Linked DNA regions of Mus musculus. The protein of the gene in region 2 interacts with the protein of the main gene of each other region in a pairwise test. Links are inferred from orthologs where the notes say so. Each region holds a gene or a part of one and is shown on either strand. Other genes may lie near its edges. The genes, in order: Ubxn1 and Plaa.

Region 1 (4,254 bases), on a different chromosome or scaffold from region 2:
AGAAGGGAGAGATTTGGCAAAGGGGACTTAAGCGTGAACAGCTCTGGGCTGTCTGGCACTTTATAAGCCAACACGGGATTCCAGAAGCAAGACGGTCACTTGAAAACAGTACCTGTATACGACACTGGTCATACTCCCGCTTAGTAGGGGGCTCCTGGCTGGGAGAAGAAGGAACAGGACCTGGGTCTGTTGCTGGTGGGGATGACCGAGAACCCACACTACCACCATACTGAAAGACAAAATGGAACACTACCTCAGAGGGAGCACACTAGTCTAGCATGTATAAAGGGTCACCCTCCAGTACATGGGCCAAACACACACACACACACACACACACACACACAGAGGTTTGGCAGTTCACAGCTTTTAGTTAGAGTACTTGGAAGGCTGACGCAGGAGAATACTATGAGTCTGACACTAGTCTGGGCTAGAGTAAAATTGCCTCAAAAAAATCATGCTAAGCACACTTTAAGGAAATTAACCCACATACTCCACTATACCCAGACTTTCTAATCACCCACCTTCTTGGCTCTCTCTGCTTTGTCCCTTTCAATTTTTTCTCGAACCCTTTGTCTAGAATAGAGACAGGAAGAAAATAGGTCAGACATGGACAAGGCAAATCTTCATTTCTTTCCCAATTAGCGACCAATGAGACTTCAGACCTGGCAGCTAACTCTTCAGCCTTTTCCCTCCTGCGCTCCTCCGCAGCCCGGCGCATCTCATCTTCCTGCAGTTTCTGTCGTGCAACTGACAGCTCTTGCCCTTGTCTCCTCCGCTGCTTTTCTCGTTCTAAAGCTTCTCGCTCCTCTCTTTCTTCACGTTCCCGCTGCTTTTGTGCCACAAGTTCCAACATTCTGTTTTGCAGAGAAGAAAGAGGTAAAGTTGGACATGGAGTGGGAAGGTGAGTTTAGACTGAGAAATTAACAAAATAAGGGAATACGGGCTCCAAGACAGAGGAAAGGAAACAAAACCAAAACAGTAATATAAAGAGGACAAGCAGGGCCAGACCTGGTGACACACGCCTTTAATCCCAGCACTTGGAAGGCAGAGGCAGGCAGATTTCTGAGTTCGAGGCCAGCCTGGTCTACAGAGTTAGTTCCAGGACAGCCAGGACTATACAAAGAAACCCTATCTTGAAAAACCAAAGAGGACAAGCTAGGTGGTAGCAGTGCACGCCTTTATTCTCAGTGTTCAGAAGGCAGAGACAGGTAAATCTCAAGTTTGAGGCCAGCCTGGTCTACAGAGCCAGTTCCAGGACAGTCAGGGATAGAGACTCTTGGCTTGAAGAAAAAAAAAAAAACAGAACAAAGCCAAAAAAAAAAAAAAAAAAGTGTAGTTTAAAGGTAGAGCACAATATATCATGCATAGACCCTTGTGGGTTTTTCTTTCTTTCTTTCTTTTTTTTTTTTTTTGGTTTTTCTGTTTAGCCCTGGCTGTCCTGGAGCTCACCTTGTAGACCAGGCTGGCCTCGAACTCAGAAATCCGCCTGCCTCTGCCTCCGAGTGCTGGGATTAAAGGCGTGCACCACCACGCCCAGCGTGGGTTTTTCTTATTGTTGTTGTTGGTTTTGTTTTTAAAGAAAGGGCATAGTGATGCATATCTATAATCCCTGCATTTGCAAAGGAGAGGCAAGAGAGTTGGGATTTCAGGGGAATCTGCAGCCACACAGGAGTTTGAGACCAGTCCTGAGCTATGTGAGATGTTTCCTGGTGACTTGCAGCACACCCTCAAAACCGGAAAGGTCAGGTTCTATGATCAGACTTGTTTGTATTTGAGAGGAAGGAAGATGACCCATGACCCTTGGTAAAGTGTGTCACTGGGCTATGGTGGCCCAGGCCTGTAATCCCAGCACTAGAAGAATGTGGCTTCGAATTTAGCCTAGGCCGCATACGGGGTTCCAGCGCAGCCTGAGGTACACAGCTGGACTGCGTCTCAAAAAAATAATGCAAGGCACAGTGAAGGCCACATCTCAGCACTCTGGAGGCGGAGGCAGGAGGATCCGGAGTTCAGCCTGGGCAAGAGTTAGGCAGACTCCAAACAAAACACACACACACACACACACACTGAACTTGCCAGTCACCTCTTGGTCTGTTCTTGTCTCTCCTCTTCAGTCAAAATGGGTCTGCTTTCTCCAGCAGCAGACCCAGAGCCTGCAAACAAGCAACCAGGATTAGTATTTAGAATAAGATCATTCTGATTTTCTCGGGGCCCTTTCAAGGTCTCTAGAATCACAAGATGTCTCCCAGTCAGGACCTTCAGGGCCAACTTGCTCTGAGGGCGTGGGTTCTCGTCCCAGGACATGGCTGAGGGGAGTCTCCAGAGGCTCATCCACATCGGGGTCGTCTTCATGCTCCATCAGCCTGCGCGGAGAAAGTAGGCAGGGGTTGGTTAGCCTGGAGGCCACCTTGCCCAGCGGCTCCCAAACTCCCGCCACCCGTGCGGGTCGCCCGCTCACCAATCCATCGCAGCCTCGATGCCCTGGTTCCCTGTGAGGGCCAGAGCCTTCTCCCTGGGGGCAGAAACACCGTGAATAGCGCCCACCAGCCATGGTGACAGTCAGGCCGGCCAGGCCCGCGGCCTCCCACCACCGGCTAGGGGGAGGCTCCCTTACGCGCGTCCCCTGGGAAAGCCCATCTCGATGAGGCTCTCCAGAGCCGTCAGCTCCGCCATGGCGCCCGCCTCCGCCTCCGCGGGGACCTGCGGGGACCAGAAGGAAGACCGCAAGGGTCAGCCCGGGGCGACTCCGCCCGCGACGCCGCCCTCCCGGCGCTCGCTAACTCACGGGGCGGGAGACCCAGGGACGAGGGGGGAGTAGACAGTGAGTGGGGAGAGCGGAGGGGAAGCGGAAGTGCCCGGTCTGTTTGTGTCACGTGGAGGCAGGGTGGACGGGTGCCGAAGAGAGCCAGAAATGTCCTTCCTGGTGGGCGGGGACTTTGAGGAGGGACAACTGACAGGAAGGAGACCCACCCACGGGGAAGAAGCTCCAGACAGGCTTGAGCCGGTTTGCAGGCTTTTAGGATTCTAAAAGAGAGCCTGGCTATGGATCGGCGGGTAAAAGCACCTGCCTTCAAGCCTAATTATGTGAGTTCGATTCCTAAGACCCACGAGGTTGAGCACAGAGGAAAAAGGATTCCTGTTAGTTGTCCTCTGACCTAAGCACACGAGTCGGGGCGTTCATGATAAACAGTAAAAGTTTATCTCTCTCTCCCTCTCTTTCTGTCTTTCTCTCTCTTTCTTTCCTTTTGGTGTTTTGAGACAGGATTTCTCTGCATAGTCCTGGCTGTCCTGGAACTCGCGCTGTAGACCAGGCTGGCCTGCAATCCAATGAGATCCACTTGCCTCTGCCTCCGGAGCGCAGTACTGGGATCAGAGTGTGTCGCCACCACCTCCTTGCATTTTTTAATTTTCCGTTTTCTCTTTTACTTCTCTTTCTGTCTTTTGGCACCAAGACCAGACAGGCCTCAAACTCAGAAAAATCTGCCTGCCTCAGTCTTCCAAGTGCCAGGACTAAAGTTGTGTGCCACCACACCCATCGGTGATGTATGTAAAAGAAGTTGGGAGGAGAATAACTCTTATATATATTATTAGTAAGTTATTTATCAGAGTCTAGGGAGTAGGTCTAGTGGTGATTTGGTCTAGCATGCTTGAGTCTATGTTCATCATCATTGTTATCACTGTCTTTGTTTTTTGAGACAAGATCTCATTATGAAGCCTTGGCTGTTCTGGAACTTTCTAAATGGATCTGGCTTTAGAGACTGATCTCAAACTCAAATATCAGTCTGCCTCTGCCATCCAGAGTGCAGGGATCAAAGGCCAGAAACATCTTGCCCAGCTATCTTTTTTTTTTTTTTTTTTTTTTTTTTTTTTTTCGTTTTTGGTTTTTCGAGACAGGGTTTCTCTGTGTAGCCCTGGCTGTCCTGGAACTCACTTTGTAGATGAGGCTGGCCTCGAACTCAGAAATCCACCTGCCTCTGCCTCCTGAGTGATGGGATTAAAGGGGTGTCTCACCACGCCTGGCTTGCCCAGCTATCTTAAAACCTTTCTTTTTTTAAAAAAAGATTTATATTTATTCCATGTAAGTACACTGTAGCTATTTTCAGACACACCAGAAGAGGGCATCAGGTCTCATTGCATATGTTTGCGAGCCACCATATGGTTGCTGGGATTTGAACTCGGGACCTTCGGAAGAGCAGCCAGTGCTCTTAACCACTGAGCCGCCCTTAAATTAAATCTTGATTTCAGAATACCCTGGTC
Region 2 (3,813 bases):
TCCACCTTCATTCACATCGATTGAGAAAACATAATCAAATTCCTGTAATGGAAACAGAAAATCAAAGATAATTTACCTGTTCGAATATGTTGAAGATATATATAGCATAATATAGATGGTATGCGGTCTTTTTATTCTAACCATTTAGATTTAAAACTTTTCTCTAAAATGCAATGATAAAGTTTTCTTTTTGGCAGATAAAGAACCAAAGTGTGCATGTGCTGCAAAATTAGTTGTTTCATTACGAATGGGGCAGGTGATGGCTGAGGTGGGACTGGACTGTAATTACTTATTAATACTAGGTCCAAAAGATGATTCCCAAATGGTTGATCTTATGGTTAAAATGATCAGCTGTTAGGGTGCCCCAGTAACCATGACATACTGGCATTATAAGCACAGTCCTGCAGTGTCTCCCATGACTTCCCAAGTTTAGCAGAGACACGCATTAAGCATGAAATGGAAGAAACTCCCAATCCAAAAATTGCTGGAAACAGTTTTGTATGGGAAATTCTAAAAGACAGATAATGGCTAATTTGTCACATGTAGCTTCCTTCACATAGATTTTATACAGACATTTAAAATGCTTTAATTATATATATATCTTGATATATATTTTAAATCTATTTTAAGATAAAAGATTAATTTTTTACAATTTATTTTTAAATGTCAAAATACCAAAGAAAATTATCAGCAGAGAAAACTTCTAATTTTGTATATAGTTTAAAATAATAATTAGAAAGCAGAAATTGACATACTTTCCCTTCATATAAAACTTTTCCAGATGTTTGCTGATTAGCACCAGATGAGCCAACAACATCACCAATTTTTATCCACCTCCCGTCACTAACACTCCACTGATAGGCTTCAACTCTCTCTCCATCTCTGATTAGACGAGTCTGTCCTTCTCTAGTACCTTAAAACAAATATTTTAAGAGTCAAAGGTCGACTAGAAGAGTAAAATGCAAAAACACTTAGACATATTTTAACATGTTTTTATGGATGCTTCCAAGTTTGAAAACCTTGTCTTGTCAGTTATGTGTGACAGGACTAATCCTCAAGTATCAGTACCTGGCACTCAGAACACATGGAACGCCACCCCCCTTAGCACTGCTGATATTCCCAAAGGCAACGTGGTGGCATTCTTAGCTACAATTTCACTGTAATAAATAGTTACCTGGCTCACTGAGATGTTCCCTCCCAGGAAGCTGCTCCGCATTAATATCCCCCAAGTCACCAGTTTTGGAATCGATAGTTGCCTGAGAGAGCTCTCTCTCAAAAGCTTTGATTTCCTCAGCACTTGCTGTCCGCTCCTCTGACTCTGTAAACACCCTAATAATACCATCACTACAAGAAAAGCAGACACATTTTAAGTCATTGCCACAGTTTATTAACATTCTCTCATGTGAATAAAGCAATAATTACCTGTCTGCATGAATATGAAAAATATCACTATGCATTGTGGAGAAGTAAGCTGACTATGACATATATTACTTTTCAGCTATTTAAAAAAGTTGCTGGCAAAGGAGAAACACATTAAAACACAATTTTCAATTTTTTAAAATAACTGCCAGTGACTAAACACATCAGAACCTTGTGTCCATTAGCCTGTGCCCCCCACTGAGTTGTCTCCTAGCATTTGGTTTTTCCGAGACAGGAACTAGAACATAGCCATGGCCAGCCTTAAACTTGTTTCCCCACCTCAGCCTCTGAAGCTCTGACATTACAGGGTCACTGTGTCCAGCACAATTTTCAATTCTATATTAAGTATTTACTGCAATAATTTAGAAATACGGCATTTACTTTTTGAAATCACTACCACATAGTCAACATATACTATCAAAAAGAGTTGGCTGGGCATTGGGGAACATACAATGAGCCTGAGTTTCACAGCAAGACCCTATCTTGAAAACACAAAACTAAAACAAGCAATCAAAAAACAACAAAAACGAGTTATTGGGCCAGTTTGCTTTACAAAATTGGTTCAAAGACCCAACCTAGTCTTATGTTCAATATGTGCAAATATCCTCAAAGGAAAATATAGCTCCATGATTACCTAAATATAGTCCTCAACCTATATCCCCAAGAAAATATTCTAGTCTTATGACTACATTTCTCAATTCTGATTTTAAAGTGAGGGAGTCATGCTAGCTCGTTTAAATTGCATTAATTCTAATGAAGTCTACAGAATACTTTATTTCCTAACTTTGTAATATCCTGTTCACTTTCTCAGTTGGCTCATATTTCTTTGATGGTTACCAAGCTTCATGTGAAATATACCTATGTCGACAAATGAATCCCTGCCACAACCATAAATAAGAGGTCTACCAAAACTTCGGCACTCAGAGCTGTGACCTTTCTCTTCTGTTCCCAATGTCTAGTTTACAATCTCTTCCTAGATCAAATACTCCTTTATTTCCTTTATTTTGCTATAGATTTTCTACTAAAATGTAACAGCAATAACAGGCAGTGCCATCTTTCAAAATGAAGCCATTGCTTTTCTACCTTTCCATTCTCGGACCACTTAGCATTCTATGACACTGACAGAAAGCTCCCTCAGGCCTCTCTTCCATCTCCTCGAATTCTGACATCTAGAATCCTGTATATGTGTGTTTTAACCTACTGACCTTTCTATATCCGGAGTATTTCACAAGATTCACTGGCTAGTCTTCCGTCTCTCTTCTACACTTGTTTACTCAGAGAAAGTTCTGTGTAAATCTTCATTATCATCCTTATACTAGAATTCAAACTGACTACTCAGGACCCACTGGCAGTGTGGCAAGATACTACTCAGATTCAATAAGTCTTTTTTTCTTTTTTCTTTTGGTTTTTCAAGACAGGGTTTCCCTGGGTAGCCCTGGCTGTCCAGGAACTCACTCGGTAGATCAGGCTGGCCTCGAACTCAGAAATCCACCTGCCTCTGCCTCCCAAGTGCTGGGATTAAAGGCGTTCGCCACCATTGCCTGGCTTCAGTTAAGTCTTAAGTCAAAGTATCACCTTCTCTATGACACTAAGACCAACTTAATTCTCCCATTTTTCTATTTTTTATTAATGAAGATTACCACAAACTATTGTTTTAAGCTTTGTCCTTTTCCTGTTTTTCTCCTATTCTCTCATTCATTTATCCATTAGTGTTGTAAGGTCAGTGTTACCTCTAGTTGAACTCAATCTGCAAAAGCTATATATCCCACTTAAATCTGATCACATCTTGGTCAAGAGCTACAATCCTTTAACACTAAGCAACAAATCTAAAAAGGACCTAGCTTGAATCTTAGCTATACTCCAATCTTACTCCAGTACTTCCCTAATCTAAACACAGAACATTCACTTCTAAAGGGAACGTACTATATTATTATTTATCAGAAATTCTAATTTCCATTATTCAACTTTGAAAATCCAATTTAACTTCTCCAGAAAGTTTTTCCATAGAGATCTCTATTTTTTCTAATTTCTTTGGTATTCAGTGTTTTCACTATACAATTTATAATACTATACCACAAAGTAAGCATCAATACTTGGAAAGTTCTTATTACTGCTGTTTTACTTGATAACAAAAATGTGCAAGCAACCCTCCAATACTTAAGTACCTACCAACCACCTAGACACGGAAAATGTATTGACTGACTAGAATATAAATACCTCGCACCAACCACAATGTCACCATTTTCCAGTACGCAGCAACACCATATAGACTGAGCTGGAAGTCGGATTGTTTGGGCGCATTCACCATGTTTCCATATTCTTAGAGATCTGTCTTCTGCAGTGGTCACAAAATCTAAAATTCATGAAAATGAAATGAATTTGTTTAGATAAAAT

The links.
Region 1: the proteins of Plaa (region 2) and Ubxn1 interact in binary tests that used the Homo sapiens proteins (3 or more experiments, as listed by UniProt). The two-hybrid records come from large-scale screens. The link is inferred for Mus musculus from reciprocal best matches to the Homo sapiens genes PLAA and UBXN1.

What each region holds. Positions count from the first base shown.
Region 1 is NC_000085.6:8,870,114-8,874,367, reverse strand, and holds the start of Ubxn1 (UBX domain-containing protein 1), read right to left. Parts: upstream 2,821-4,254; 5' UTR 2,671-2,820; coding exon 2,612-2,670; intron 2,510-2,611; coding exon 2,456-2,509; intron 2,361-2,455; coding exon 2,254-2,360; intron 2,151-2,253; coding exon 2,081-2,150; intron 855-2,080; coding exon 663-854; intron 574-662; coding exon 522-573; intron 230-521; coding exon 113-229; intron 1-112.
Region 2 is NC_000070.6:94,582,659-94,586,471, forward strand, and holds part of Plaa (phospholipase A-2-activating protein), read right to left. Parts: intron 3,773-3,813; coding exon 3,637-3,772; intron 1,345-3,636; coding exon 1,175-1,344; intron 914-1,174; coding exon 756-913; intron 43-755; coding exon 1-42. UniProt on the Homo sapiens protein: Plays a role in protein ubiquitination, sorting and degradation through its association with VCP. Involved in ubiquitin-mediated membrane proteins trafficking to late endosomes in an ESCRT-dependent manner, and hence plays a role in synaptic vesicle recycling.